4 linked regions of the Lonchura striata genome follow. The protein of the gene in region 3 purifies or fractionates together with the protein of the main gene of each other region. This does not show direct contact. Links are inferred from orthologs where the notes say so. Each region holds a gene or a part of one and is shown on either strand. Other genes may lie near its edges.

Evidence for each region.
Region 1: the proteins of LGALS1 (region 3) and FN1 purify together in Homo sapiens (affinity purification with mass spectrometry; 3 studies listed by BioGRID and IntAct, with this or other methods). This does not show direct contact. The link is inferred for Lonchura striata from reciprocal best matches to the Homo sapiens genes LGALS1 and FN1.
Region 2: the proteins of LGALS1 (region 3) and ITGA4 purify together in Homo sapiens (affinity purification with mass spectrometry; 3 studies listed by BioGRID and IntAct, with this or other methods). This does not show direct contact. The link is inferred for Lonchura striata from reciprocal best matches to the Homo sapiens genes LGALS1 and ITGA4.
Region 4: the proteins of LGALS1 (region 3) and MET purify together in Homo sapiens (affinity purification with mass spectrometry; 3 studies listed by BioGRID and IntAct, with this or other methods). This does not show direct contact. The link is inferred for Lonchura striata from reciprocal best matches to the Homo sapiens genes LGALS1 and MET.

Annotation. Positions count from the first base shown.
Region 1 is NC_134610.1:35,768,543-35,775,606, forward strand, and holds the start of FN1 (fibronectin), read right to left. Parts: upstream 3,041-7,064; 5' UTR 3,012-3,040; coding exon 2,855-3,011; intron 2,631-2,854; coding exon 2,502-2,630; intron 1,053-2,501; coding exon 915-1,052; intron 1-914. UniProt on the Homo sapiens protein: Fibronectins bind cell surfaces and various compounds including collagen, fibrin, heparin, DNA, and actin. Fibronectins are involved in cell adhesion, cell motility, opsonization, wound healing, and maintenance of cell shape.
Region 2 is NC_134610.1:24,034,395-24,041,813, forward strand, and holds the start of ITGA4 (integrin alpha-4), read left to right. Parts: upstream 1-4,394; 5' UTR 4,395-4,409; coding exon 4,410-4,594; intron 4,595-4,681; coding exon 4,682-4,803; intron 4,804-7,419. UniProt on the Homo sapiens protein: Integrins alpha-4/beta-1 (VLA-4) and alpha-4/beta-7 are receptors for fibronectin. They recognize one or more domains within the alternatively spliced CS-1 and CS-5 regions of fibronectin. They are also receptors for VCAM1.
Region 3 is NC_134607.1:23,457,748-23,464,726, reverse strand, and holds the start of LGALS1 (galectin-1), read right to left. Parts: upstream 3,022-6,979; 5' UTR 2,922-3,021; coding exon 2,913-2,921; intron 1,385-2,912; coding exon 1,305-1,384; intron 95-1,304; coding exon 1-94. UniProt on the Homo sapiens protein: Lectin that binds beta-galactoside and a wide array of complex carbohydrates. Plays a role in regulating apoptosis, cell proliferation and cell differentiation. Inhibits CD45 protein phosphatase activity and therefore the dephosphorylation of Lyn kinase.
Region 4 is NC_134607.1:34,614,197-34,621,919, forward strand, and holds the start of MET (hepatocyte growth factor receptor), read right to left. Parts: upstream 3,056-7,723; 5' UTR 2,954-3,055; intron 2,776-2,953; exon of another isoform or gene 2,706-2,775; intron 2,371-2,705; exon of another isoform or gene 2,169-2,370; intron 1-2,168. UniProt on the Homo sapiens protein: Receptor tyrosine kinase that transduces signals from the extracellular matrix into the cytoplasm by binding to hepatocyte growth factor/HGF ligand. Regulates many physiological processes including proliferation, scattering, morphogenesis and survival.

The sequences.
Region 1 (7,064 bases), on a different chromosome or scaffold from region 3:
TAAATTCAGAAGGGCTCCAGCATTACTTGTTAGATTCAATGCATTGTTTTTTTCCCATGCTACAATGATGGCTGGTTTCAGAGTCCTCTGTGGCAACACTACTAGGGTCTGCATGTGTGTCTTAAGCAAGAAACTAGATACTTTTAACAGCAAGACTTTTCTCAAAAGGTACCTCAGAGACTTTGAAATCTCAGTCTAGAAATCCTGACACACAGCAATCTTCCTCTGTGCTCACAGAAAGTCCAATTATGAACTAAGGGGAAATTGTGAACAATTCAGTGACTCAATAAGGAAAGGATTTCCAGACAGAGACATGAAACAGGAGCTGGGGAGAAAGGACCAAGGGAAGAGAGGGAAGAGCAAGAGGAAAGTATGGGTCAGGCTAGTGAAAAAGGAGTTACAGAACATGTTAAGCTGCTGTCTGGATATCAAATCCCAGTTCCCCCTGAGACAAGTTCAATGACGTTTTTGGAGGATGAAGGATTGGCTATCAGGTGGCATTCACTTATTATCATTTATTCTGAGTAGTCCCACTAATGCTGACAGTGTTATTTTGACCCATCAGCTCCAGAGCAGACTATCTCCAGTCAAAAAACTACTTTTATACTTGCATCTGTGAAGATGTACCACACACTCTTGTACATAGCAACTTACTAGCCTGTATGGCTGGACACTAACAGTAATTTTTGGCCTATGTTTCCTCACATAGCACTTGACCTCTTAAACAAAAGAGGAGTTTGGTTGTGCAAATATATGTACATGGGGCAGGGACTTTTAATTTCAAAGCTTTAGTGAGCTTTGGACTAAACCCCATGCAACTGTAGCTAACAGGCACTGGGAATAGTGTGTAAATTGCTGTGGAAAATATGACACTAAGGAACAATAGCTCTAGGAAGAGGCTCTTAGTTACATACTGGCAATGGTGCAGCTGATTCTCCCACGTCCAGCTCCAATGCAAGTACAGTCCCAGATCATGGAGTCCTTGGGGCGCTCATAGGTCTCCCCGACCCGGTAAGTGGATCCAGTGTATTTGTCAAAGCAGGTCTCTTCAGCTATGAGGGAGAAAAAAAATTTAAATAATCAGCTTCATGCAACCACACCAGTAACACGTACAATCAACGGAAACACATTCCTTGCCTCCTCACACAGATACTCCTTTTTTCCTGGGGAAAAATGCCTATCAGCCTCCTCTTTCCTCATGGGACAAAACCGCAGAGAAGAAGTTGGGTGAAATTTGCCCCCTCAAGGGCCCCATGATGCTCAATAACCTCTTCTTCCCTCCCTCAGGGAACCACAAGTTGCACATGGCAGGCATGCCTGAAAGCATCAATCCCAGCTGTTTGAAGCCAACAGTAGGGAAGACAGGAGGGAGCAAACAACCCCTGGAAACTGTGTGCTTTGTCATGCTAATCATCCTTGCTCTGACTTAGCAAAAATGGAGTAGATTAATCCCAAATTCTGCAGCAGTCCCACCAAAGTCAACAGCAAATTTCACTGCTTGTGTATTGCTCATACTCATGCATAGGTGAGTGAATCCAGAACATCAGTGCTGCCACCAGACTCAAGATGTGAAGCAGAACAATTTTCTTCACTGCTGGGCAGATAAAGTTCATTGTGTCATAAGGAAACCTTCCTGTTGGATTTCAAAATTGTAAAACTTGGGAATCTCTGCAGGGGAAGGGAAAGTACATTGAACCCTCTTTTATGGGGTAAGGGGACTCCTTAGAGTACTCCAGTCGTGAGCCAGGCAGCACACAAACCTCACAGAACAGATGGCTGAGATGCTCACATCTGTCTTACATGAACACCGTCAGCCAGGAACCAGATTTTCATCTCTTCTATCTCCAGAGCAACATAAAGGAATTATGGCAAACCAGTGGCTTCAGACCAATAGAGATAGATTGCATCTGATAAACTGAACTACACCGAATCCTGGAGAGACACATCCTCCAGCAGACCTTGCATTTAAACTTCTTTCTGTTCCCTAAACTTTTTCTGCACAGACTAAACAATCTCATTTTACACTCAATTATAGAAAGCTCACAGCATGGCCGGGACGCTGTGGAAAGTTGTAAGTTGAAATATTTTTAAACAAGCTGACGACACTGCACAGCTATGAAAAGTTGGGGTGAAGCAATCAGAGCAGAGCCAGAGCTGCAAAGTGACTCCAGATTTGAACTTCCCCATGCGAGTCCAGGAGTCAGTTCAGTTCATTATAAAGAAGAGGTTGGCTCCAAAATTAATGTTTAGATCCAATCCTCCAGAGAGATGAGCGATGTTTGGCTCAGGGTTCTGGTGGCAGGCCCATCGCTAATGAAAAGCATTTCTTAAAATCCCAAGCCAGATCTTCAGTGTAATTGAGTGTAGATCCCATTACTGACCCTAAGTACCAAACTTCAGTGGAAAACCCGGGCTGCCAGCCCTAACTCGTACAAGGCTTGGCTTACTCGGCACCAAAAGCGCTGGGGTCTCGACGCAGACAAAAGGGGCCACCAACTTACGTTCGGGCTTGCTCTCGCAGTTGAACCCTCGGCTCCCACCGTAGCAGGTACAGACCAGAGTGTTTCCCAGGTAAGTGCGCTCCCACTGCTGGTTTATCTGATAGTACCGTCCATTGTCATAGCAGGTCTCTGGGGGAAGAGGAGGAGTGGGGTTACAGAGGGGGAAAGAAAGCAAAGTTCGGCGTTACCGAGGGCAGCAGCCGGGAGGGACGGGGCGCGGGGCGCACACGTGTGCGGGTCCGCCGAGCCGAGGGGCGGCTGCGGGCGAGCGCGGGGGTCAGACAAAGCGCCCCGGGGCCACCGGCGCGCCGTGCCAAGCCCCGCGCCCTGCCCTGCCCGCGGGCGGTACTCACGCTTTCCCTGCGCGGCGGTGCCCTGCGGCAGCGAGGTGGTTTGGGTCTGCGCCTGCCGCCGGCTCTTGCCGCCGGCTCCGCGGCGCTGTCCCCCCGCCGCCGCGGCCCCCAGGCAGAGGGCGAGCAGCGCCAGCCGCCACACGGTGCGGCCCGGCATCCTGGCACGGCTGGGCTCGGCACGGCTCGGCACGGACAGCCCGACGGACGGCACGGCGCCGCTGCCGGGCGCTATATAGGGCGGGCTGGGCGGGAGGAGGCGGCCGCCGCCGCCCCAGCGCCCATTGGCCTCGGCGCCGCCGGGGGCCGGGCGGGGGCCGCCACCGCCCCGCCGAGCCCCGCCGGGGTGGGAGGCCCGGCCCCCCTCAGGCACAGCGGCCGTGCCATTTTGTAAAACATCTGGCTGAACAAAATGGCTTTTTTTGAGGGGAGAGGCAAACTTTTCTTTTTTTTCCCGTGGAGCAGCGCTGCCTGTAAGCGGATACTGCTCCGTTGAGGAGGAGTAGTGTTCTGCACAGGGGAGAAGGTGAAGTGTAACATACGGGTGGGAAATAGCAACCCTGAGTTATGTTTTATCTAGTGCTGAGAGCTCAAGGTTAAAAGCTTTCACACCTCACTTGGAAAATCGGTGTCATTGCATTCCATTCAAAATAAATTTAGCACCTTCTTTGTCTGACTTTATTTCTTGCTGTCTAAAATCAACTCTGAGAAAAAAAAAAAAGGTGAAAGAAATACTAGGTGTTGAACCTTTATTAAGTAGAAGGGTTCTTCAACGTGATGCCCTAATGTAACCTCGCTGTACACAAATTTTGTCAACCTCTTCCATCTCTCTTCTTCCCATGGGCATCTCTGCTGCTCTGGAGGTGTTCCTTTTCCCTAGTTTGAAGGAATACTGCAAAGCAGAGAGTAGAGAGTGTGAACAGTAAGTGTGGCTCTCAGGCTGCCAGTGAACAAAGCACAGTGCATGCCCCATTCTGGTACGGTGCCTGGACCAGCACCCCAGTTCAGACCATACAGGAAGGTTGTGTTTCATGCTTCTCACACATATTTTGTCTTGGCAAAGGGATTGTTAACCTAAAAAGTCTGCTGCAGTTCCTGATGTATAAAAGCAACTCTTCAGACAAACCTGAGAGTGAAGTAGCGTACATTGTTTCCAGACATCTTTAAGGTGAATATCCACAGCTTTCCATAAGACTTCTTCAGCATGCCGAGCAGCACGCTCTGGTTCCACTTCCTGCAAGCCCATTGTGTTCTCTTTACTGACGTGCAAGCAGTAATATCACTCCTGGGATGAAGGCTATGTCAGCAGGCAGAGTACTGATCCAGCACGTGCTCTGTTCCAGGAAAATACGGACTTGTGATGTCAGGTATCTATTTTCAAGGAAATTTCTTTTCCCTTGTATGAGGAGTGTCCACAGATACATTTACACAACCTACTCTGCTGAAAACTTACTGGAAATTGAAACCTGACCTGTAAATTGAGGTGAGCTGTGGTGAGCTAACTCCCACCTTTCCTAATTTTTATTTTTAGATCCACTGCACTGCCTTTTTTTTTAATCTATTTTTTTTTGAGTCACCAGACACACATTATCCCTCATAATAGTCACAGAACTAAGGTGGCCACAGCAAGGGAGAGTATTAGCTTTTGAAGCAGGACATAGCATCATAAACCAGCAAATATCCAGTTTCTTGAAATGAGAACCTGCTTTCAGAAACTGTTGCTGCTCTTCCAAGACCTAAGATATGATGTGTCATCCTCAAATTCCATCTCACATTCCACCTTATGTCTGGAAGTCTCTGATAAAAGCCAGGTGAAAAGCACATTGTCAGAAAATGCTGCTGTTTGAGCATTGGATGTACTTTACCTAGCTTGCTCCAAAGGAAGAATTACTAAGTGGAAGTCAGTGGGAAAGAGGAGTTTTGATCCATATATGCAATGAGGAAGCAATTTGCGGTCATTTTTCCAGTTACTCAATAAAGAGCCAATGAATGTGTGAACAGATTCTGCTGCTGATACAAGCTGCTAATTAAGCTCAGCTGGCATGGTAAAGGAAAGGGTTATGAGAAGTCTTCAAGGACAGCAGGGTTATGATATATAAAATTTGCTCAGGGAAATCTGCTAAATGTAAGAGCTAAGTACCCAAGGAACAGGATGTAGTGGAATATGCAAATATGAGGAATAAATATCTGCTTTTAGCAATTATTTGCAAGTGGTATATAAAAGGTTCATGTATCAGGTGTAGTTCCCATGAAGATTAAATTATTGACATTGACCTAATTTCTGTCTACTTTAAATCCAGATCATGTAATTTTGCACTGCACTTAGGTATTCAAATGCAGTATAAGTATTTACACAAAATGAAAATTGTATTGTCTGAAATTTGAATGGGAAAAGACAGTGTCAGCAAGCGTGTGACTGTGCTAGTGCTTTCCGCAGAATTAATTACACAAATACAGGGACAAATGTAAGATCCTTGTTTGAGAAAACATTACTGGAAGCACACAAAACAAAATTATAATTTCCAGTGGTGTTCAAATTAGTTTCTTGCATAGCCATCATTTGCAAGCCAGCAGAAATAGTCTTACAATGTGATTATAGTCTCTCAATGTGATTTGGAACAGCCTGGTTTCTTTTTTAAAGGAATCTCTGACAGTAATTACAATACAAGCATGTAGTAATTATGATATTGCATGCTGTTAAATTTTGTGAGAGGTCTCTTATTTATTTCAGGAAAGGGATGTATCTCCTTTTCCGTCCCTCTGTCAGTTTGTCCCTCAAGCTAACAGGAAATGAAAGGAAGATTCACCTGAAGTCTTCCTTCAGATGAGATCAGTTTGAATTTATAAACCACCCGTTCATGGGTTCTGCATCCAAATAAGGATTAGGAATGTCCCAAACCTGTGCTTTAGCCATCGGTATTCTGATTCATGTTCTTGGTCTATTTGAAATTTTTTTCCTACTGAAATCCTACCTTTTTGGCTCTTGGCTAGGAAAGGCACATACCCTTATACGGTTCTCCTGACTTTTGTTGCTCCATCGTATTGCTCTGCAGATAAACCTCTCCACTTGATTTCCTTCACTGCACACACTTGTGGGGAGCCACACGTGTGACTGGGAGCATGGTCTGTCCCTGTAGCCATTCTTCAGCACATTCCAACAGCAAAGAGAGGATGAATCAGTACATTCAGGATCAATCCAAGTCACTTGTTATTCTATAAGCAACCTTAGAAAAAAAGGCCACTTGGGCTTAATTATATCCTTCTAAAATTATTGCTTATAAGGAACAAGAACCATGAAGAAAAAAGGTCAGGATTCCTCTCCTTGACATAGGGAGACCATTAAATGCTTCCTGCAGTTCCTAAATATTTTGCAAGAACCCCTGCTGCGAGCTGAAAATTTCTGAATCATCACAATTTCAAGTCTGTGGTTTTTGTTAGGTCACAGCAAAATTCACTTCAAGGCTGCTGAGGCTGTGCTGCACAGTGCTTCATTCACTGCTGAGTGTCTTGTCCAGGAATCCGGAACATCGCTCTTGAAATGAAATCCATTCCTTCTGACCGTTAGCTGCAACTTCAGGGAGATGTAACTCCATGCCGGCTACAGCACAGGAATGAATTTTATGGGCTATAAACACTCCATGACAGGACATTGACTACATCTCTGGCATTATCAATGGAAATTCCTTCTCTTCTCCCTCCTCCCTAGTCCTTCCCAACAAACTGTTCAATATCATCAACACGGAAAAATGCATTTCCTTTCTCTAGCTGTCCGTGGATTAGGAGATTTAGTTTGGTCTACCCAAATTGTTGTAGTTTGCCAGTGAAGTGAAGTTTGCAGCCACAGCTCTTGTTTTGCATTAGAGTCTGCAGTACTGTCAGCCCCAGACATTTAACCCTCGTGAGCCACTCCCTGCAAAATCAGGGGAGCAGCTTTGGAGGGCGAGGGGGAAGAGATTTCCATTCTTTCCCGGGTAGAGGAGTTCTCCTGGGGCTTTCGAGTTGTTTGTTTGTTTTCCTGACTTTCAATGAGGTGTTTATATCACATATTAGTGATTTAAGAACAGAAACTGAGATCCTGACATGCTTCCTGTTGCCAAAACATCAACAAAAATGAGAACTCTCATTAGACACACAACAGTGGGAATTGGCAGGCAAGTGGCATGGGACAAGTCCCTCACTCCCAGGTGAAGCTTCCAGATGGGCAGCACCATCT
Region 2 (7,419 bases), on a different chromosome or scaffold from region 3:
GATTCTGTTCCATTCCCATTGCATCCAATCTCATCAGCAGACATGTGGAATCTATGGAAGTACAGAAATATGAAAAAAAAAAATAGAAACACAATATCAATAAGTGGTCAGAATGTTTTCAGTGTAGAGATGAATGTGTTGAAATGTTGATTCATTATGGAAAATTAATTATGGAAAAGTGTTGATTTAAATAAATTATTATTTTTTATGTTGAAATTCTCTGAACATACATATTTCCTTTTTATCTCAAAGAAATTAGATCTAACTAAAATATTTGTTTTTAAAAGTTATAATAATGAAAAAAATGCTACAACTCTGCTGAACCAGACTTTTACAAAGAAAGACACAGAAATGGTGCATGAAAACACTCTTTGTTTGAATTTCAGATGGGAAAGTTTCAAAAGTTCAGCAATTCCTTTGGGATGGGAAAAAAGGTTACTGCCCAATTCCTCTCAGAAACAGATATTTTGTTGTGTCTGATCTTGCAACTCAAGAATCTTTGACAAAATTTTAAAAAATAAAAAAGGATATGCAATGCATCAATCACACATATACATATAATGATTAATTTCCAGTCCTACCTATCTGTAAATCAAAATGCAGTTATTAGTTAAGCTGTTATTAACAATAATTATCTTTTGTTTGCTTCTTCTAGTCAGGTTGTCATAGTCATTGTCTGTATGACACTATTTTATGTTTAAATTCTGGAAAGCTCTTTTGGCAGATCAGTCTTTACTTCAGCAGCACAATTTTTCAAGGGAAGAAAAAACTTTTTAAAAATATTTCCTAAAAGGACATTATATGATTGTAAATATATGATAAGCTGATTAAATTAAAAGATTGTTTCTCTTTAACTGATTCTAAATGAAATTCAGATCTCTTAAGAGAATATAAACAAAATGATACAATTAAGACCCTTGCTAACATTTGCTTCTTTTTGGTGCATCAGACATCTGTGCTTAATTGTATTTGTCAGTGGACAATGCAACCTCTTCATGAGAACTCACATGTATCTTACAGCAGAGGGAAGATGAAGTTTCTTGAAGACAGCCTTAGAGGTAAGAGTGTATTTGCCTTCTATAATTTCTCAGATGACAGCATATGAATAGTAGCTTCTGTGGCCAACTGCCATTGTTGGGGGGTGGAGGAGGAGAAGCTTACATAAAAAGAAGATGTAGTTATGGTCTGACCAAAACCCTAAATTTTCCATGTTTCAGTAAATCAGAATGGTTTAGAAACTTCAAATTTGAAATAGCATTATTTAAGTACTTAGACAATTTAAAAATTAAACTTTCATGTCTTTCTAATTAGGAACAGGATCCCAACCACTGCTTGTTTTTATTTCGAATTCAGAGTAGATGTGGAGACACTCTTCCATAAGCAGCAGTAGGCTTATGTGGCACACAGGAGACCAGGGACAGCCACAGCTGAAAGCAGCCATATCCATGAAGATTTTTATCAACATGTGCTTTCATGTATTTATAACACAGCAAAAGCTTTTATGTGATCAGTTACCCAACACCAGCCCATACACTGGACTTAATTTAATACAAATGCCTTCCAGCTTAGGGAATCAAAAAGTATATATTCCAAAGAAGAAAGGTGACAAACATTCAGTATGAATGAATGTCAGAATCAGTATGTTCTTTATTCAGTAATTTTCTTACCCTTCTTCTCACTAGCACTGGTGAAAAGAAAGGAAAGAAATTGCTTCGTTTTAAGTCAGATGTGTAGGTTTTAACTTCGTAGACTTGCTACTTGTAGAAAGCTAAGGCTGTTACCTGAAAAAGTTCCTAAAGCTGCAGCATCAGGTTAAACCATCCTATAAATACAACCAATACAACTGGCCAGCTACAAATGTGATGTAGGTTTGGGGGCTTTTGTCTGAGTTATTTTTAACCCAGATCACTTCTCTGATGTGTTTCACTGCTCAGACACTGAACAGTATCAGCATAACAGGGTCACTGTATGATTCAAGAACAAGCAGCAAGAGATGAGGACAGTCAGATGAAATGCACACATCTGCTGTAAAAAATGTTGCCAAACTGCAGACTAATATAATTAACAAATCATCCCACTGGCTCCTCTGAAATTGCCTTAGATGGTGAACCAAATTCAAGCACAAGAGGCAAGTCACTGGGATATTTTTCTTCTAGTGTTATTAACCCACAAAGGACTGTGAGAGATGTGCTGTTGAGAATGAATAGCAGCAAGATGTTTTGGGGAGAACTTTTTTTATTATTTCAGGATAACTTAGATATAAACTGATACATAACTGATATTTGATTTGTAAATACAGGTACTTGGCTTCCAGTGTTGGTTCCACCTTTTCTGCAAATTCTCTAAATCTCTAATAAAACTCAAATTCTCTCTCCATTACTCCATATTGTCAGTTGCATTTATTCTGATCTCTTTCTAGTACCTGAATTGTACTGAAACCTGCAAAAATTTCTCAAAATATGGATTTCTGACTCTCCAGTAATTTGTATTCCACTGATTTCATGGATGCCTGATGGATCACTATCACATGCACTCTAGCAGAGTCTAGGAGACAACACACACATTTCCTCCTGACAGGTGATATAGAGCTCTCAATTTCATATCATAGCTGATAAACAGTTATGTATGCATCAATAATTGAATCCCACCACTTTACAATCTACCTTTTCCTGTCAGCTAGGAACACAGCCACTATCTCAACATGGTTCCAACATCACGGTGGTACAACCATGTTACAATTTTTCACCAACTAAACCACAATTTAGCATTTCAGTTTTGATTCATGCTTGTTTTGCTGCTTTGAAAATGAGGGTGAAAACTTCTTGAGTAGTAGAAATGCAGATTCACAGCTGCTGTTGATTGTTTTAACTCCTTTGATGTAAGTAATTGGAAGGAAGATGAATAGCAGCTGCGGAGCTGTTTGACTCCTTTGCACGAAACAGCCACCGCTCCACATCAGTCTCATCCGAAGAAGCCCTCTGATGGCTCTAGAGATGAGGAATCAAAAAAAGATACACTGATGACTGGCTGTCAGATCTTCCACTGTGCTGATCTCATTCCAGAAACTACACATCTGCATGTTTCACTCTGCATTGCCTCAGTGCCCCACTCTGGTAGTTGCTCAGCATTTTGCAGAAACGTGAAACTTTCCAAGGGGGGTATTTTCCCAAGAGTTTAAAATGCCATGTTCTAAATTTACATTAGGGAAATCTCACTGTTATTTCTAATGTGTATAATATTCAATAGTTGCAATCATACTGGATTTTAGTCCAGATTCAGTAAGTAATCTTTGTAAATAAATTTTTTTTTAGAAGTTCTTCTGTTCTTGTTTCTCAGATTCAAAATACTGTTATACATAGCTTATCCATATACAGGGATTATTTTAGCAACGGGGAAGACCTGGTATTCAAAGGATTTCAGTAAGGCAAGGTTTGCAGATAGAAATAAAAGCCTTGATTTCAGGATGAGCACAACTCAGTATGAGCTAAATCAAGAGTCAGCAACTGATTGCTGAAAACACGCACAGAAATGCTCCTCACTAAGATCAAGGGAGCCCTTACAAATACCAGATCTCTTGCACAATGCTCAGTTTCCTTTGTTCCTTTGCTGTCTGGAGGCATGGCCGCTAACTTTGTCAGCAACTGAAGAACTGAATAGGAATGTGCAAAAGTTACTCTAAAATGTACAAGAAGCGATGGGGGATTGTTTTGACTACATGACACGTGAAAAGGAAGGCGCCATCAGCAGTCTTGTGCAACAAGTCTTGGGTAGGCCAGTGCCCTGCTTGTGCGGCACTGGTTTCAGGAACCAAATACCCACACCGGGGGACAGCAGGCAAGGCTCCCTCAGCACAGCGACTGCGTGGAAGGCTTTCAACACAGGGGTACTGGGTTTCTTCTTAAATCTAAACAGAAAACTCAAATCTTCTCCACGCTTCCTTTCTCAGAACACGGTTCTGCTCTTGAGCCGCCCGCCCGCTGCTCGGCGGGAGATTTTAGGATAAGTTTCCAGTAACTCCTTCCCCCTTTGCGGGCTGGGCCGGGCAAGGGTGTCGAGGCGAAGAGATGGGGACGCGGCCCTCTCTGCTCCGCCGGTGCCTGGATAGCCGCGTCCCACGGGGGCAGTGCCCGGGGACGCGGGGGCCGTGTCCCTTCCGCAGCGTCCCCGTGGGCGCGGACGGGGCGGAGAGAAACCCGACCCCCGCCGCCTGGGCAGGGAGAGGGGCTGCGACCGCGCGGGAGGAGGCGGCGGCGGGGCCGTGCGACTGCCCCGTCCGCGGGGACACCCCCAGCCCGCGCTGCGGAGAGGGCGCCCCAGGGCGGGGCAGGGCGGGGCGGGGCGCGGCGCTGCCCTCTCGCCGAGCGGAGAGGGGGGAAGCCGGCGTCGGAGCGCTGCCGGCCGGCGGAGCCATGCGGAGCTGCGGGAGGGCGCGGGGCGCCGCGGGCTGGGCCGCCCCGCTGCTCCTGCTGTGGCAGTGCCTGCCGACGGCGCGGCCCTACAACCTGGACACGCAGCACGCGCTGCTCTTCCGCGGGAGCAACGGGACCTTCTTCGGGTACTCTGTTCTCCTGCACCGCCACGGCGAGGAGCGATGGTGAGTCCCCGGCCCGGCCGCCCCCGCGGGGGCCCGTCGCGCCTGGTCCTGGCCACGGCTCCTCACGCTGCCGTCTCTGCCCCGCAGGCTGGTGGCGGGCGCGCCCCGGGCCAGCTGGCCCGCCAACGAGTCGGTGCTCAGCCCCGGGGACGTATTCCGGTGCCGGATCGGGGGGAACTCCAGCGGAGGGTGCGAGCAGCTCCAGCTGGGTGAGTCGGCGGCGGGACGTGGGCGGCGGCCGGGGCCGGACGGTCCGTGCCCTCCGCCGTGCGCGCACCGCGGCTCCGCTCCGCTGCCGTGCGGGGCGTGCTGGGCCCTTCCGGCTTAAACTGCGGAGCGCTCTGCTTCTCGCCCAAGGGCCAGATCAGCGCTATCGCCCAAGGACTGCAGCGGCGGCATCAAGAGAGATAACAGGCACCAAAACTTAATTTGGAGAAGTTAGGTGTGACAGATACCGTTCCTGCAGCCGTTTCGCACCTTTCAGCCTCCGAGTCAAAAGCCCCATGAAAGTTTCGGTCTGAGCCTGCTCTGCGGAGAAGAGCTGGTGTAGCTTTCAGGGCAGCGGGTGATTGTAATAAGCGCAGGGATGGGAGGGTGGAAGTATGTGCCTAAGTCCTGTTTTCTCCTGCAAAGCATTCTCTTTGTAGAAGTCACCCTGAAGTAACTTTGAACCACAGTTGTCTTGCTGATAGGTTCTCCCTGCTTGCAGATTTATTGGAGTTTCAGGTGAACAGTTATTCATTTAACTTCACTTCTCTCTATCTCCACAGTCTCTATACTTAGGAGATGTAACTGGCTGCACTTACTCAACTTTCAAGCGTTTGATACTTGTTAAAAAGGGGAAGGCTTTGCACTGGGTTGCCATGAACACGTGTGAATTACTTTGGTTTCTCTTCCTGTCCCACTTGCATACAGTGCTGTTCACGCTATTTGTGTGCTATGAGAGAATCCTCCTCCACTTGTACTCAGTCACCCTCCGACCAAGAGTATCCCATCCGTTATGAGCACATCGCCCAGTAAGAAGCAGCGCGGGAAAAAGGCTATCAAAATATTTGAAAGCAGTAGCACACCATGAACTGGTGGCTGTCAGGGTGGAGCTCAGCGTTCTGTAACCAAAAAAATACTAAACCAATTATTTTTCTACATGTCTGTGCATAATACTTAGAACTGACAGGTTCTAGCCTTTCTTTTTTTTTTTTTTTTTGGCTACAAATCAATATAAGAGTTTCATTTTGTAACTGGTCTACAAAACCTAGGGTACTTCAGTGGTGTTTTTTATGTAGTCCTATAAGAAATAGACAAGCAGTTGTTGCTAGAAAGAATGGAAATTAAATTTATACCAGGCCAAGTAGTTTTTCGGAGTTTTGTTGATTAATTTCATTCCGGTACTATAGCCGTTTAAAAGTTAAACATAACAAAGAGATTTTTTTTTTTCTGACTGCCTGTTTATTATGAGGAGGCTTGCAAAAAGTCTAAGAGGTCAACTAAAATGGTGAAGTAACATATGCTAAAAGTCAATAAAAATAGTCCTTTACTGTGTGGGGGAAATAAAGGAAGGGTTGAAAGTTTCAGGTTCTTTGAAACCTACAAACATCTGCAGTGGCTCTCAGTTTGCTCATTTAGCCAATGGAGAAACAAAATCTCTAAAGAAATAATATGATGGGATTTTCTTCAATAGTGTAAGGGATTCTAATTGAAATGAGGCAACAGGTATATGAAAAAGTTTATGTGGTTCCAAAGGCTTAGCTTAACATGGCCTCTATTCCCAGAATTAAAGGCTGCAGGTTGCACAACATACTTTTTAAAACAACAGTTATACCACATGATATTTTTGCAAACTAGGTTTCCATTACTGCTAGATGACATCTTTGCATCACTAAGGTTTGCCTGTAGTATTTCTGAAGTTAAATAGAAGCTGAAAAGAAGTGCTGTATTGTAATACAGGTCATTGAGGTCAATGAAGAAGCCAAAGGCAGCTGTAGTCCATGGGATGTGAATGAAGTGGTATAGTATCTGAGGTCAGAGAAATATGCAGGGGAACTTGGAATTACAAAGCTGAACTTAATTAACTCTCATCTAACTCATTCAAGTTTGGGTTCTGATCTCATAGAATAGGGAATTTCCTTAGAAAAATGTGTGGCAATATATTGCACTGCTGAACAGGCACAATGAGAAATAAGTGTTGCTATCTTGCTCTTAAATAGTTGAACTCGCATTTTGTTCTGGTAAAAACATCTTTGAGGTGGTAACTTTCTAATTATAAGTCATGAAAAAGTATAGGTGATAACAGGCAATAGATGTGGCTTTCCAAATGTGGGGGCACTGTAAAAAATGGGTGTGAATTACTTAGAGATACAAATATGTTAAAATACTTTGTCGCTCCTTTTCACTAAAGTAGCCTTGAAACTGGCATAACTAATTAATGAAGGATTCATGAACAATTAGGAAGCCTCTGATCACACAAAACTGCTGTTGTCTTTTTATGTGTCACAAGTTCCTATCTGCTTCTTCAGTAGTAAAAGAGCTGCTGGGAGCAGTCTTATGCTGCAGTCATCACAGCATCTGGGATAACTCATCCAGACATACTTTAAAGAATGTTATTGTTCTTCAAGATGTTGCAGCCCCTGGGCCGGTTTAAGAACTGAAAAAAGTAATGAGATATGCTAGCAAGTCTCTGTTTTCCTAGCCCCTCATTGGCACTTTTAAATCTCTCTCTGATAGATGAACAGAAGAGTTTTCAGTCTCTTTTTGAGTACTAGTACTTCTGTTTAAGGTGTCAAGTGTTCTAGACTGCAGATTAATTTGTATTTGGAGTATTTTTAAAT
Region 3 (6,979 bases):
GCATACGATGGTGTTCACATCGCCATGGGCATCAAAACGGGGATTGAAGTGAAGTCCAAGGAGGGTAGCATCCTTGCCCAGATTCAACACAAAGCTGCAGAGAAAAAAAAAAAGCACAGACATCAATACAGCTAAAAAAAAAAAAAAAAGTAAATACTATAGTAACATGTTTCTCATTACCATGAGCATCCCTTGGTCTGTTTCTTCAAGCCCAGCTGAGGGTAACCTAAGAGAAACCTTTAGCTAAACTACACAGCTTCCTTAAAAAGATGGTACTGTGGCAGTAAGGGGCTCTTTTCTGGGGTGATAGGCTCCAGAGTGCCATCCCTGGAAGAGATACCAGTTCCTCAAACTTTTAACAAGAGAGGGGTTCAGTACACAGTGCCCTGAACAGTGTTATCATACATCTAAACCAATTCCCAAGAGTCAGTTGCTTTCCATAGATTTCCATTCAGTCCTGAACAGTTAGCTAGTGCTGCATCCTGCCTGACAGCCACTGCCTTCTCTCCATCCTGCAGGCTGCTGAAATAAATACCATGTCATTAGCTATCCCAAAGTATCTGCAGTGGCAGTGGGAGGAAGTTTCCTAGCCTAGTGTCCACCTTGCCTGCAGGCCTCTCACCCAGATGAGAAGAGGCATATTTGGCAAGAAAAACCCTGGGAGGCTTCACTCAGACAGTATCAAACTTCAAAGGCACTGGGAAGAGCTGGGACATGTTTCCTGGAACACCACTAGTTCTGGTACAGCAGCTACAGGCTCCACCTTACCTGCAAAGTGCCATCCCCAGCCACAGACCTGCACAAGGGCTGGGGGCTGCTGCAGAGGCTTTGCTGGGAAACCCAGCCACCTGGCCCCTGCCCATTTAGGGGTACACTTCCACTTCAGCCCACCTGCCTGCTCACCACCTTTCTTCCTTCTTTCCTAACCACCATTTGAGGGGAAAATCTACTGGGGCATTATAAATATCCCTACTCCTGGCCATCTTCGTGCAGGGGAGAGGATGTGGTGGGGCAGATGTCTCAAACCAAATCTCAGTATAGACACAGCTTCCATTTCCTTCACCCTGCACTAGAGAGGATGTGGTCACTGCCAGCGTGTGCAGTTGGAACTTCACATCTGCTTTAGCTTAGCCCCTTGGCAGCACAGTGCCTGCAATGTGCATTAGGTGATGACTCACTGGAAGCACTGCTGGTGTTAACCCCTTCTCCTCTTCCACCCAAGAGACAGAGTCCTTTTGCCACCACCTTTTGCAGACCCTCAGTGCAGTGCCCTGGCTGTGCCTGGGCAGCACAGCACAACTCACCTCTTGGCATTTGGTGCAATTTTCCCCTTGACAGTGAGGCGCTGGCCAGGCTTGAGACCCAAGTTGGTGCATACTGGTCCCTGGGGAACATGGAAGCAGAGACATTAGCTCAGTACCTGCTGGCTCACTTGGTCTGACTTGGCTGCTTTCCCTGCTGCCTTTCAAGACAGGCTTTGCTTTGGACCATGGAGAAACAGGGAAGCTCCCTTGCCCTAGGGCATTGTAGCAAGGACATCCCAGAGAAGTTCTCCCAATCACATGGTACATTTGATTGGAGTTCGATTTCCTAATCTTCCTCCTGCTGCTCTCATCAACGTATCTGTATTTCACAGCAGTGAAGGGTAAGTACATTCCAATCACACCCACCCCATCCCAAACACACCCATGTGCCTTGTGGGTCTTGTGTCATCCCACACATATCTGTCTGGGATGGATGGCAGGGATGGAGACTAGCTCATGTTTGAACTTCAAGCCTTGACTAGGTCCAAGGACTCAGACACCTTGCTTTCCATCTCCCAATGGCTTGAGCTTTTGTTTAATGTAGGCTCAGTATGTGCAAGAACATTCTTCTGCTTCACAGAGATACTTTCCCCCCACCTTCTCTCTAGGAGGACCAAAGCATCCTGGAAAGCCCATATGTACTCATTTTTCATCACAGCAGAGCCAAGACCTCAAGAATACTGAAAATCTTTTCTTATTCCATCTTAAAAAAATAAGCTTGCTCTTGGGATCATCTCTGCTCTCAGCCTAATGAAAGGCAAATCAAAGAAATGCAATCACTCTTCTGACATATGCATCTCCCTAGCAGTCACAGAATAGTTAGGACTGGAAGGGACCTTGGAGATCAAGTCCAACCCCCCTACTAAAGTAGGTTCATGTAGAGCAGGTTGCAGTGCCATGTCCAGGTGGCTTTTGAATACCTCCTGAGCAGCAAACCCCACAATCTCTCTGGGCAGTCTGTTCCAGTGCGCTGTTACCCTCACAATGAGGAAGTTTTTCCTTGTATTCAACTATAACTCCCTTCATTTCAGTTTGTGCCTCATGCCCCTTCTCCTGTTGCTGGGCAACTCTGTAAAGAGTCTGGCCCCATGCTCTTGATACCTGCTCTTAAGATAACCTCTCTAACTTCTTAAGATATTTGAACATAGTCCTTGACATTCACATTCCTTACTTCTGTAAGGCACATTCCTTCCAAAAAAGAGAAGATTAACAATTCAATGACTCATGAAAACCTCAGCAGAAAGCAAGCAGCAAGGCTGCCCAGAGAAGATGCTCAGACAGCAATAAATGCTACTGCAGCAGCTTCCCCAGGGTAGAGCTGCAGTAAAACAGGTTACCCCAGTTTAGCACTCAACCCAGCGAGGATCCCCACACACACTGCCCCAAAGGGATCCTACAGGAAAAAAGAACCACTGCTGCCAGAACACAAAACAGCAGCCAGCCCTCTGTAGTGGATGCAGCAGGGATGGGTCCTAACCAGTAGCAGGCACCCAACTCTAACAGACCCTCTGACACTGGGGCTGATGTGCAGGCTAGCACAAGCACCCTCACACCCAGCCAACACAGCCCCACCTCCAGCTAAGCTGCCCCATCCCTTTCTCTACTCACGCAAGACATGGTGCTGCTCTGCAGGGTAGCGCTCCTCTCCACCGAAGTGCAAGAGTCCCAGGCGAGTAGCTCCTAGAGCCCCACCCTTGCCTTTAAATAGATGGAGAGCTGAGTGGTCCCGGCCCTTCTCCACCCCATGCACCAATGAGAAGGGCAGCAGGAGTTGGTTTTGGGAGGAGGGAGGGTCTATTAGACAGAGCTGCCTCCTCCCACACTCGCCCAGCCTCCTCTCCAGGATGCTGAACACAACCCTTCCAAGCAGGCTGTGGGCCACTCCAGGAGGAGATCCAGCTTTATGTGGCCGTGAATCCAATGGAAAGTAGTTTTACAATGAATGCTTTATTATCCAAGGCTTTTATCCCACATGGAAAATGGTCATACGGATCAAGACTTGGCGGGAAGGGTCTGTAATGAGGGCGGGGCTCTTCAGCTCCAGTTAAATCAGGAGTAGAAGAAATGTCACTGATCACACGTATTGCCTAAGAAACTCTTTGTAGTCCAGGTGAAACCCCAGTAACAGAGGACTGGAGCTGCATCCAGGGTCACCTGGCTGCACTATGAATCCTTTCTGTCCCCAGAGACTGCCCAGCTGCTAACACACACTTGTGTAGGTATGGAAACCAAAGGAGAGAAAACAGTCCTTTTTCTACAGAACCCATAGGCACCTTCAAAACTGTACACTTCATCTTGGCTGCAGGGCAGAGTAAGCCAGCAGGAAGCTGCCTTGGAAAGCTGGAAAGAAATTATCTGGGAAAGCACCATGCCTGGCTCTTGCTTCTACCCTGAATACAGCTAGGGGCCTGAGGAAGAAGGGGAAGGGGGCAAAATGCTTCTATCACAATAAGCCATGGGATCTATATGTCTTTTATCTGCCTCTGTGTTCTCTTTGTGGCAAGTATGATTCACTGGGTGAAAGGATTCCTATGGAAAAAGTTACCCAATTACTACATGGCTCAACTTTAATTACACTGAAAGAGAAGGGAAAAATTCAGGCAGTGAGCCAAGCCTGGGGCTTAGAGCTCTCCTTGTCTTGCATATTTGTCTCTAAATCACAAGACGCTCTGTGATTTCCTTAAGAGGCCCAGAACTGAAACTCTCTGAAACAATTTTTTCTTCCATGACTCTGAGGCCCATCAGTTCCCTCTCTGCTGAGAATGTGAGAGTCTCCAGCCCTGTTACCCCCTCCAGTATGACCCCTGAGGATGGCACTACTGAGTATTTCCAGCTGGTGCCATCAATGCCAGCAGAGGTAGCAGGGAGACCCTCTTGCCTGCTTGTTGGAGAGGGCAGAAACAGGCTCCAGACTTTGGCCAGGTTGCTGATCACTCCGTGACACAAGAGGGCAAAATAAAGGCCAAAGTGGTCTTCTCTGCTCTGACATGCCTGCTCCCCCTTTCTCCTTCTGGTCACTTACCTTGGGGTTCAGTCTTGAGCCTGATCAAGGGATCATGTGGTGGAGGACAAGAAGTACTCCATATGAGGAGGAGAAAAAGTAAATAGAATCTGCATCCTTCTACTTGGGATGTGTGTGTTATTAAATCAATTCCTTTCAAATCCAAAGTTTTGTGAGACTAAACCCCAGGCATCTCTCCAAGTACTTGAGCTGCTGCTGGAGCCATGGTCTGGGGGGCGGGACTGGTGGAGGCTGTTGGATGGGGAAGGGAAATGTGTAAATATTTGCTCTCTTGGAGATGGAGGTAGAGGGGGCCTTTTAAAAGCTATGGGGTAAGTTCTGTGTTTTCTGCAGCATTTCTGGCAGCTGGGAACTGTGACCAAGCCTTAGCAGCTTCCAGGTCCTTGAGTTATGTCTGTCTAGGGACTTTCCTCCAAATGCTGCTGTGGAGATTAGAGACCAGCTAATGGCTAAGAGACAATGAAGAAGGGGCTGCCATTCAAAAGCAGGTGCTTAAAGAGCTATTCACATCAAGGAAATTCAGGTTTCAGGCTTGAGTCTAGCTCGGGCAGCCTGTATTTGTCTGATAGAAGTCCAGATGTCTCTACTGACTTTCATGAAACCTTGAATTAAATGGCATTAGCAGAACAGGCTAATACCACAGGCAAGGGGGCCATGGGGTGTCCCATCGCCTGCAGGCCATGGGCCACCACCATCCAAACAATGTCACGTCTGCATTCCTGTTGGAGACATGATGATGAGATGACAAGCTCTAAAGCTCCAGCATCAGCATCCTTACAAGGGATGGCTAAAGTGAGGGGAGGAAAGGTCCCTGCTCACCCTAGTGTCACACCAGGCAGGGATGGTGTCCCTAAGTGTACTGACACCTACTCCACCACACTGGAGACACAGAGGTGCTTGCATGTGATTTTCAGGAGTAATGTGGTGTAGGAAGAGTCACTGTAGATTGAGAAGAGTAGAGCCAGACTCTTTAGAGCTGGCAATCTTCACCACCTGTCACCTCCTTTTTTATCAGTGTGCAGTGGGCCAGCCAGGGGATGTGCCAGCAGTTTAGCAGCCCATGTAATCTGCAAAGGATGCAGATGAGGAAGATGAGGTCAGATCACAACAGACTTTGGTGTCGTGGGCTGTGTGGGAACTCTACACTGGGACAGGGCTCTTCTTCTCCACCATTTCTGCCTCTCCTCACCAGAAAAGCTCTCCTACATTACATTTTAAATCCTAGCTTTGCATTAGAGGGAGAGTCACTGATCTGCATTGTAACTTGGGGAGCAAAGGTCTTCTTTGCTCAGTCCAAAGGGAGTGAGTGATTATGATGCTGTCGCTTCAAACATTGCTCTTGTCCATGCCAAACACTTGGCCAGAGGGAGTCATGAGTTTGGAGAGAGGAGTAATGACTGTGGGATATGACTTCAGCAGTGCCTCACCTCTGGTTATGAAGGTGAGGCAGGTGATGTTTGCATCTGCACTTGCTTTCTGCAAAGTGGGGTTGTGTCCTGGACAGGACAGGGCCCGGAAAAGGGAGTGTAGAAGAGCCAGCTGCCATGACAGGGACTGACCAAATTCACAGACAACACAGATATCCAAGCCCAGGCATCACAGCAAAGACCCCATCAGGAAGGTACTATGCTAGGTTAGGCACCTCACTCAGGTCCTGATAATGGGCATCTCCAGTGTGGCCTGTGCTTCAGTCACCTGCCTCCTGGGAGCAGTTTGCTAATCTCTTGCTAGCCTTTCCTTGCACAATCTGCTCACTCTCCTTAGAAAGTGCAAATTGCCTTTGTGAGTAATCTCAGACAGTCCTTGAGCTTTTAATGCCTTTGGGGCCTGAACCCATCCCCCAGTGCTGGCTGTGACCCAGCATTCCCATCCAAGGGACCAGACATCATTATCTGTCCCTAGGGCTGCACAGGGTGCTCATTGTGACTCTTCTCTCAGGGCCTCAGCCTTCTTCCCGCACTCTCCTTGGCACTCAAAGAGCCCAGGGTGATCTCTCTATACTGAGATGGCACGTTTTCTTGAGATCACAGCCTCCCTCATGGACATCCTCACACCTCCCAACCTCCAAGCTGTAATACACTTTAGGTTGCAGAGGGAAACATGATTGCTAAAAGAGAGTTTCACCATTGCAAGTAGCTTTGATTTAGAGCGTGCCTTCTGGTCTAGCTGATAGGCACTGGCCTCAGCATACCCAGACTGCTCCTGCGGTCTGAGGGCTGGAGTCCAGCTAGTGCAAGCTGTGGGGTTGAGTTGGAACACCGGGCTGAGCCAAGGGGTGGCTCTAAACAAGGTGGTTTGGCAGCTGCCAAAGGAGAAGCCCAGTCAGGCAAGTGTCTGAAGCAAAAGAGGGAAGATCTGCCCCAGATCTTCTTGTGAGGGATGCAGCAATAGATGGGGCATCCTGAGTGATGACAGGGGAGGAATGGGAAAGGGCCTGGCTGAGAAGCCTGGGACTAAAGCCTGCTTGCACACTGTGCTCTTCATCTGGCAAAAGCCTGTTTTGGCTGCAGTTACTCTTGCAGTGATTTGCAACACCTTTCCACAGGGAGAGAGCCTTTGTACCTGTTCAGCCACTTCGTGTCATGTGGCCTGTGGTATTTTAAACTAAGAACTAGGTGTGCTAAACACAGATTTATTATGTTGCGGACACAGA
Region 4 (7,723 bases), about 11 Mb from region 3:
CAGAGTCCTGCATGGAACTGTGGCCCTGTCTCCTTGGTGATGGCATGCTGCTTGAGGCAATGTGGCATGACCACCAGTGGTGCATTGCACAGGTTTAATTACCAAACACAACCTTTGCATAGGAAGCAAAATCACTAACTATGGCCACAGCAGACAAGATGCACAGGTTGATGGTTCATCTGAGGGTAACAGCCTAATGAAACATGAAGTTGTGCCACCAGCTCAAAGGACAGACAGTAAGGTAGCAACAGGAAGGTAGAAATCCTGGACATAAGGTTTTCACATGAACCCACCACAAAGGTGGTGTTGCCACCCAAAATCTTAGCAAGGTGTGTTTGAAGTGTCATGCACTGCATGCATTCCTTCTGCTTTGCACCAAACAGATCCTTGTAACCCACTACTGAATTTTGTGTTTCTGTAGTTTCAGAGAATGCTGTTCAACTACCCTATCCCTTTCTTGTTCAAGAAATGATGTATAGTGCTGAAAGAGCCCAAGCAGGATTTCCCTTACACTAAATATTTCACAAACACAGATGGAGATGGAGGACCTCTCCTTGCTTTCTGCCTGAAGCAAATAAAGTCTAGACACATGCCCACCACAAAGCAATCATGGCACAAAGCAGATCACCCAGTGCTCTGTGACTCCCACCGCTGCAGCTCTGCCTCTCTGGCTACCCCAGCACAGCATGCTGCCGGCATCAGGTTCCCTTTGTGGCTGTGAAGGCAAGACTGCTGCTCTTACACTGCAGCCAGCTGTGCCAGTTATTCTCTCGAGCTCTGGAAGCCAGATTTGGGAGGCAGCAGACTTTGAATCTCTCCTCTGAGTTGAAAAATACAGAGCAGATATTTGCAGATCATAGAAGAATAAGAGTAGGCGGGTTTGATTGCATTGGACAAGCAAGAAGAGGTTACAGGTCATCAGCTGAGGTACTAGAAAACCATTAGAGCAGGAGAATCAGGATGGGACAGGCAGTACTGGGAAGACAATACTTGCTACTTAGTTTTGCTTTCATGAGCTTTTCATTGAACCTCTACTGAATTTTGGCATTCTGGCAGCCTTGCTCTGACTCAGTGAGCTCCCATCCATCTATGGCTGCACTGTCATCTACACTTGAGCAAATAACACATCTATGAACCCCTCTCCAGCCACAATATGTGCACTTTAGCTTACCAATAAAGAACTGCTATGCAGTGGTTAACCTCTGAAGGAAAAAAAAAAAAAAAAAAAAAAAAAAAAAAAAAAAAAAAAAAAAAAGTTGAAAGAAAAAAAGAAAAAGAATAAGAAAAAAGAGGGGAAAAAAAAGAAGAAAACATTGGGGGGAAAAAAAAAAGAGAAAAAAGGAGAAAATCCTTAGAGGAAAATAAAGACAATTCATTCCCTCTCCACCAAAAAGGCACAGAAGTTGACTCTCTCTTCTCCAAATAATGAGATGAATGTTTTACAAAATATCCCAGTTTCCAAATGATTCAGTTTGTATTAGAAGACAGAAAAAGAATCATACAGTGCTGAAGAAGGATTATGGCACAAAGAACAAGCGATACAGTCATTCTGCAAGTTACTTTGTTTTCAACATGCAGCTCCTGCCAAAGGCTAGCTTTTTGCTCTCACAGTGTATGATCTGTAAACATTTAACCAGCTCTCTGAGAAACATGTGAGACCCTTGCTTGATTATGAATCCAAACCTCTCAGATCTAAAATAAAAAGACAACAAAAAAGAGACACCATCCTCTTTTTGCTGCTGGACAATGAAAAAAGCACCTGTGGGATGAAAGCAAATGAACTATCACACAGGGCATAGGTTCTTCGAGAAAAGCATGCACTGCCGCTTGAATAAACCTCCTACAGGTTACAAACGCACAGGTTGTTAAACAACACTGGTATTAGATTATTAATGCCTATTGATGTATGTGCAAAACTTCCAATTTCTAAGGAGTGCATTCAGTTTTATAAAGCCTAAGACCACATAATTTAATGCTGACATAGAAACAGTGGTGGAATGCCATTATATGAGCTCTTTGCGATTTGTTTACCGTTCGAAGCAAATTCTGCTTTTAAAAATTGAATTAAAAAAAAAAAAAAACCAAAAAAAAAAAACCACCAAAAAAAACCAAAAAAACAAAAAAAAACCCAACAAAAACCCTAACAATAACAACAGAAAAGGCCATACCGTAAGGAAAACTGTGAACGCAGCGAAACCATAAAGTACACATCCCCAACTTGGGGAATCCCGCAGGCTCACCCTGCGCCTCGCGGAAGGCGGTCGGACCGGCCACCACAAACGCGGAGCCACCGTCTCCAAGTTGGAACTTCCAGGCTGCACTGCCGGACACTGCCCCGCGGCGCGCTCCTGCCGCGCCCGCAGAGCGGGAAGGGGCGGGAGGGGCAGCGGCTCGGGCTGCGGCCAAGGGGCGCTGCCGGCAGCATCCCGGGGAGCGCTGCCCGCCCTGCCCTACCCCGTCTCGGCTTCGCGGGTACGCGGGCGCCGGCGCCCTGCGGAGCCCGGCCGGGGCCGGGGCCGGCCGGCAGCCCCGCACCGCTGTCACCTGGCCCCGCCGCGCCCGGCCCGCCCCGGCAGAGCAGCGGCGGCTGCCGCGCTCCCGCGAAGTTCCCGGGCGGGGCACGGCCAGCACCGAGCCGCTGCCCGCCCTCCTCCTTCCCCGGCTCATCTCGCTCCCCGCGTCCCCCCACGGGTGCCGGTCCTTACCGGAGCGGAGCGGGCTGCGCGCCGGCACGCCGCCGGAGGGGCGAGCGCTGCGCCCCGGCAGGCTGGGCTGGGCTGGGCTGGGCTGGCTCCGCGGTCCCGGCCCGGCCCGGCCCGGCTCGGGCGGGGCGGAGCGGGGCGCAGCCCGGCGCACCTCCGCGGCCCCGCGCCGCTCCGCCGCTCCCTCCGCCCCGCGGGCTCAGGCTGCCCCCGGCCCAGCCCCAGCCCCAGCCCCGCGCTGCTGTCCCTACCTGGGGCGGCAGGGGCTGCGCGCCCCGGCGGGCACGGGCGTCCCTCCTCCCGCACGGCACCTGGGCTGCGGGGCGGCTCTCCGCGCCCTTCCCTCAGGCGCCTCCGCCGCGCTGGTGGCGGCTCCCAGCGGTAAATCAGCCGGTCCCCGCGCTCCCTCCGCCCCTCCGGCGCGGTCCTGACCTGCCTGTGACTCACCACATCGCAGGAGCCCGGGTGCGCGGTGGGGGGAAGGAGGGAGGGGGGCCTCCTTCTCTCGCTCCCCCTCCCCTCCTTTCTGCCCCTCGTCCCTCCCGGCCAGGCCCCCAGCCCAGGGGTAGGAGGGATGGATGTCGCTCCCCAGATGGGGAAAGCCAGGAGGGGACCCTTGGTGGACCTTCTGCACCTCGGCGTTTTCAGGCCAAGTGAGTACCAGTGGTGTGCAGGCACAGCCTCCCTCCTCACTCCCAGCCGCAGGGCACCCATCATCAGGTGTCAGTGCCTGACTGATGCTAAAGCCTAACCCTGAGAGGTCAAGATATGGGCACCCCTAGGTTTGTCCTGAGACCCCCCCTAGGCTGTGTAGTAGTGAACAAATTTAGCCCATATTGCACTATCATGGTGTCAGTGCTGACTGTGCTTTAAATGTCTATCCACATGTAATTCAAACAAATGACCTCAGTTTATATAGACTATCAAGTAGCTGTCTTCCCCCATATGTGCTTCCTACAGGGTAGTAAACTGCACAGGTTGGGGTTTTTCCCTCACAAGGTTTGCAAAGCAGATGATGACTTCATCTTTCAGAGGTGCTGAGAAACTGAGTCACTCAGCAATACTGCCTGTGCAATGTACACTTGTGGAGCTGCCGAGAGACTGCAAGTCTCAACACTGGGGCATGCAGCAAAGATCCATCTTTTTTTCTGGTAACGAGTTTCAGCAGCTACTGATTTAAACCAGATTTTAAGTGAAAGGCTCCATATTCCAATAGAAGTTACTGGAGACATCTATTTTCCCTTTGCTTGCTTCCTTTTTTGGCCCCAACTCTGCTGCCCTTAATCATACCATTTAAACCGATGAACGTTTTTCATGAGTGAAGTACAAGGAACTGTAAGAAGCACTGCCCAGTTTCATGATTAACCATGGGAAAAATGTCAGATCTTACATCAAAACATTCTGTAAGGAAAATTAAATATTGTATGTATTTGTTTTAGGCCTTGGATGTCACCAGGATGTGTACAAAGCTGTACAACAGAACAAAATGTTTTAAAAAAGCAGTTAGCCACCTTTCTGCTAGTCTTCTGCTAGTCTTTCACAATTTATCTGTCTCCTCTTTCCTTTGGACTTGCCAGCACTAGTGATAAAGACATCAAACCTAGCTATAAGCCAGTTCTGTGCAAAAACAGATGCATGATTGAGGGCAGCCTGCCCCCCAGCTTCCCCTTCAGAGGAAGTTGTAACTGCAATGAGGTCTCCCTTCAGTCTCTTCTTCAGACAAAGTGACCTCAGCCACTCCTCATATGGCTTCTCCTCAAGGCCCTTCACCATCTTCATTGCCCTCCTTTGGATGCTCTCTAGGAGCTTTATATTTTCCTTATATTGTGGTGCCCAAAACTGCCCCCAGCACTCAAGGTGAGGCTGCCCCAGTGCAGAGCAGAGCAGGATAATCCCCTCCCTTGCCAGTTAGTGATGCCTGATGCCCTCCAGGACATGGTTAGTCTTTTTGGCTGCCAGGGCACTGCTGACTCAAATTCAGTTTGCCATCAACCAGGAATCCTGGCTCCCTTTCCACAGTGATAGTCTCCAACTTCTTGTTCCCCAGTCTATCCATACATCCAGTGTTGTCCCATTCCAGGTGCTGAATTCGGCACTTGTCTCTGTTAAACTTCATGACTGATGTAATCTCATTTCTTTCAAGTGTCTGGAAATCTGTCAATTTACTTCAATAACCTTTATTTCAATTAATATTCAGCAATAGTTAGGAAAAATAAGACAGTGTGGATGCCCCCCACCCCCGCCCAGGGAAAAGCAAGGCTACAATTAGACTGTGCTGCTTGCTGGGCTTCAATTAGTGATCAGTCAGTCACTGCTGACTGTGCTGTGCACTACTACTGTACGGTGCACCAGTACAGCCACACCAGACTTGGAAGAATCTTCCTTAAGGGTTTTGAAATAAAGTGATAAAGAAAAATATTTAAATCCAGAGCTCATTCTAAGGACAGCCCCTCATATTATCTGTTGTTAGCCTGCTCCTGAGTTCACTGTGCACCTGCCTGGGCTGAGCAGCCAGCGCCCAGGCTGTTATCAGTGGGACAGTCTGTGCTATTCTAAAACTAACAAATGGATTGTCACTAACATAAAAAGGAGAAACAGATGTTTCCTTTCCATTTTGACCATGCTGATGCCATGTTATTTTAGGTTAGTTTTATGAGACAGTTACACTGCACTGAGGCTTTGATAATCATCTGATACTCCTTTCATCATGCTTGCACCATGTGTACACCATGAACAACTTCTCAGAGGCTTGAAGTAGCTTTAAGGTGCAGTTATGGGTGAAAAAGAAACTGACTTTCTTAGTCATCATCCTGGTCTCTTTATAGGTTTTCCTAATCTCTCTTCCCTGTCCAAAAGGAGCTGGTCCTCTTCAGTCTGGCATAAGATGGCGTGACACATTTTAAAAAGCTGACGACACTGGAAAAAACAATTCAAAAGTGTGAAGGAGAGTCTATGAGGGTGATCTGCTCAGTAAGAGAACTGGAACACACTGGGGAGTATATTGGCACATCCTTTCCAGCCCTGATGTGTTTTGAGATAGGAAGCTGGTGAGCAAACCCTATCACATTTCCAAGAATACAGAAATAGAGTTAGAAAATGAATTGCAAGGCTATGTTGAACTTAAACTTTCAAGTGTAAACATGAGGAATGAAAACACAGGATGATTTCTGTACATTGGCAGTAGTGCATCTCAACACACTAATGTGTCCACTTCAGTTTTATGGGTTTCATTGTGACTTCTGTTCAGAACCTGAGAAATTATTTATCATAACTACAAGTAGCAAAATGACGTTTATAGAATTATGTATCCAATTTATACCTAATTTCAGTAAGAAAAAATATATATTTAAATACCTCTGCAAATCTGGATCTAACCACATTTTCTAGAAGTGCAGAATCAAACATAAATCTACTGTGCATTGCTGCAGAACCACACTCTACTACATGGCACCACAGCTATATGGTAGCATCAGAGGATTTACTCTTTGTCCTCTGCTGCAGTCATTCACACCTTTGGGAGCAAATATAAAATGCAAATGTCATTGTGAAGCTCCAGAGACTTCTGACTTAGTGGAGCTTACTCATGAGTAAATGATTTCAGAAGGAGCAAGACAGCGGAAAGGAATTAATTTAATGCTTAAGAACACACAAGACAAAGATCTCTAGAGCTGAGCTTCACAGCGGTGGATATCAGGTACCTTCCTGTTGCAGAACCCTGCAACAGGGACTCAGAATAGCTGAGTCTGAGTATCTCTGGAGGTTGATAAACAAAATAAGAGCCTTAGGTGAACCCACCCAGCTCAACTGCCTGACATACCAGTGATCCAAGGGGAAAATTATAGTGTGACAGACTGCTGGGGTAATGTGTAGCTGTATTTCCTGTAGACCCTTATTCACTGGAAGGCAGCCTGGCTGCAAATGCCAGGGGCAGCTCAGGGAAGGGGCTGTGCCTGAGGCACATTTTCCTGTGACTACTTTGTCCCTTCAAGTCACTCTGACACAATCTGTCTTTCACTGTCTTTCCTGGGCTCAAAAAGCACACAGTGGGAAGGGACACAGTGTTGACTGGGGGTTGGGCTTTGGAGAAAAAATGCCCATGGTGTTGTTTGCCTCTCTGGAAACTGAGCTAAATATCACAATTACTACTTAGATCTCTAGATTCCAAAGATTTGATCATCACTGCATTTTATGGCATTTATTGTCTAGCCATTTATTAACTAAACCCATAGCTTCTGATAACTAAATAAGTACTTTCTGTTTGTTTGTAAGAGGGTCAACAATGTCACTGGAAGAAATTTCAGCCTGTGACTGGTGGTTGCAAAAGTCCCTTGCAAAGCCAGGAATAGAAGCCTGCAGTTAGAAGTTCTAATCTCTAACCACTAAGCTACCCTAGACAGTTCTCCATTTGTATAGAAACACAGATCATAACCGAGGGTGCTTCCACATATTGCACTGTGGATTATAGGTGACTTTTGAGCAAAGGGAAGTTTTTCTGTTTAACTTGATAAAATTTTCCTCCTTGTTTGTCTTTCTGCTTGTAAAAAAACACCACAACTGGGCCATTCTAAAATCCAAATGGTGAATGCTTCAAGTATAATTCTTGAAAATGGAGGAAAATGTTTATGGGGCTATTGCATCTGAAGTCTGGATTGCCATGGCTCTGTGTCCTTTTTGTGCCAGTCCCAAAGCCTTGGTGATCACATGGGAAACTGGTACATGAAGTTCGGGAATCCAGCAAAAATTAATCAGTCAAAAGAACATAGATTAGTTTACAGATAGATTAGCTCTTCAAATCCATCTGCTATGCAGTAATGTGAGTGCTAGTGCTGCAAAAGGACAAGGTCAGAAATCCAGGAGGAGGGTGGGCTCATGGCAGCACAACATTACATCAGCTTAACTGGAGGGAGCACCTCAGCCTCCAGAAGGCAGAGGAAGAGATGGTGTGATTCTCACTGCTCCCCACCTGAACCTTGCCTTCTTTCCTAGTGATTTTGAAATGCATTAAACCCCTGAATGAGTAC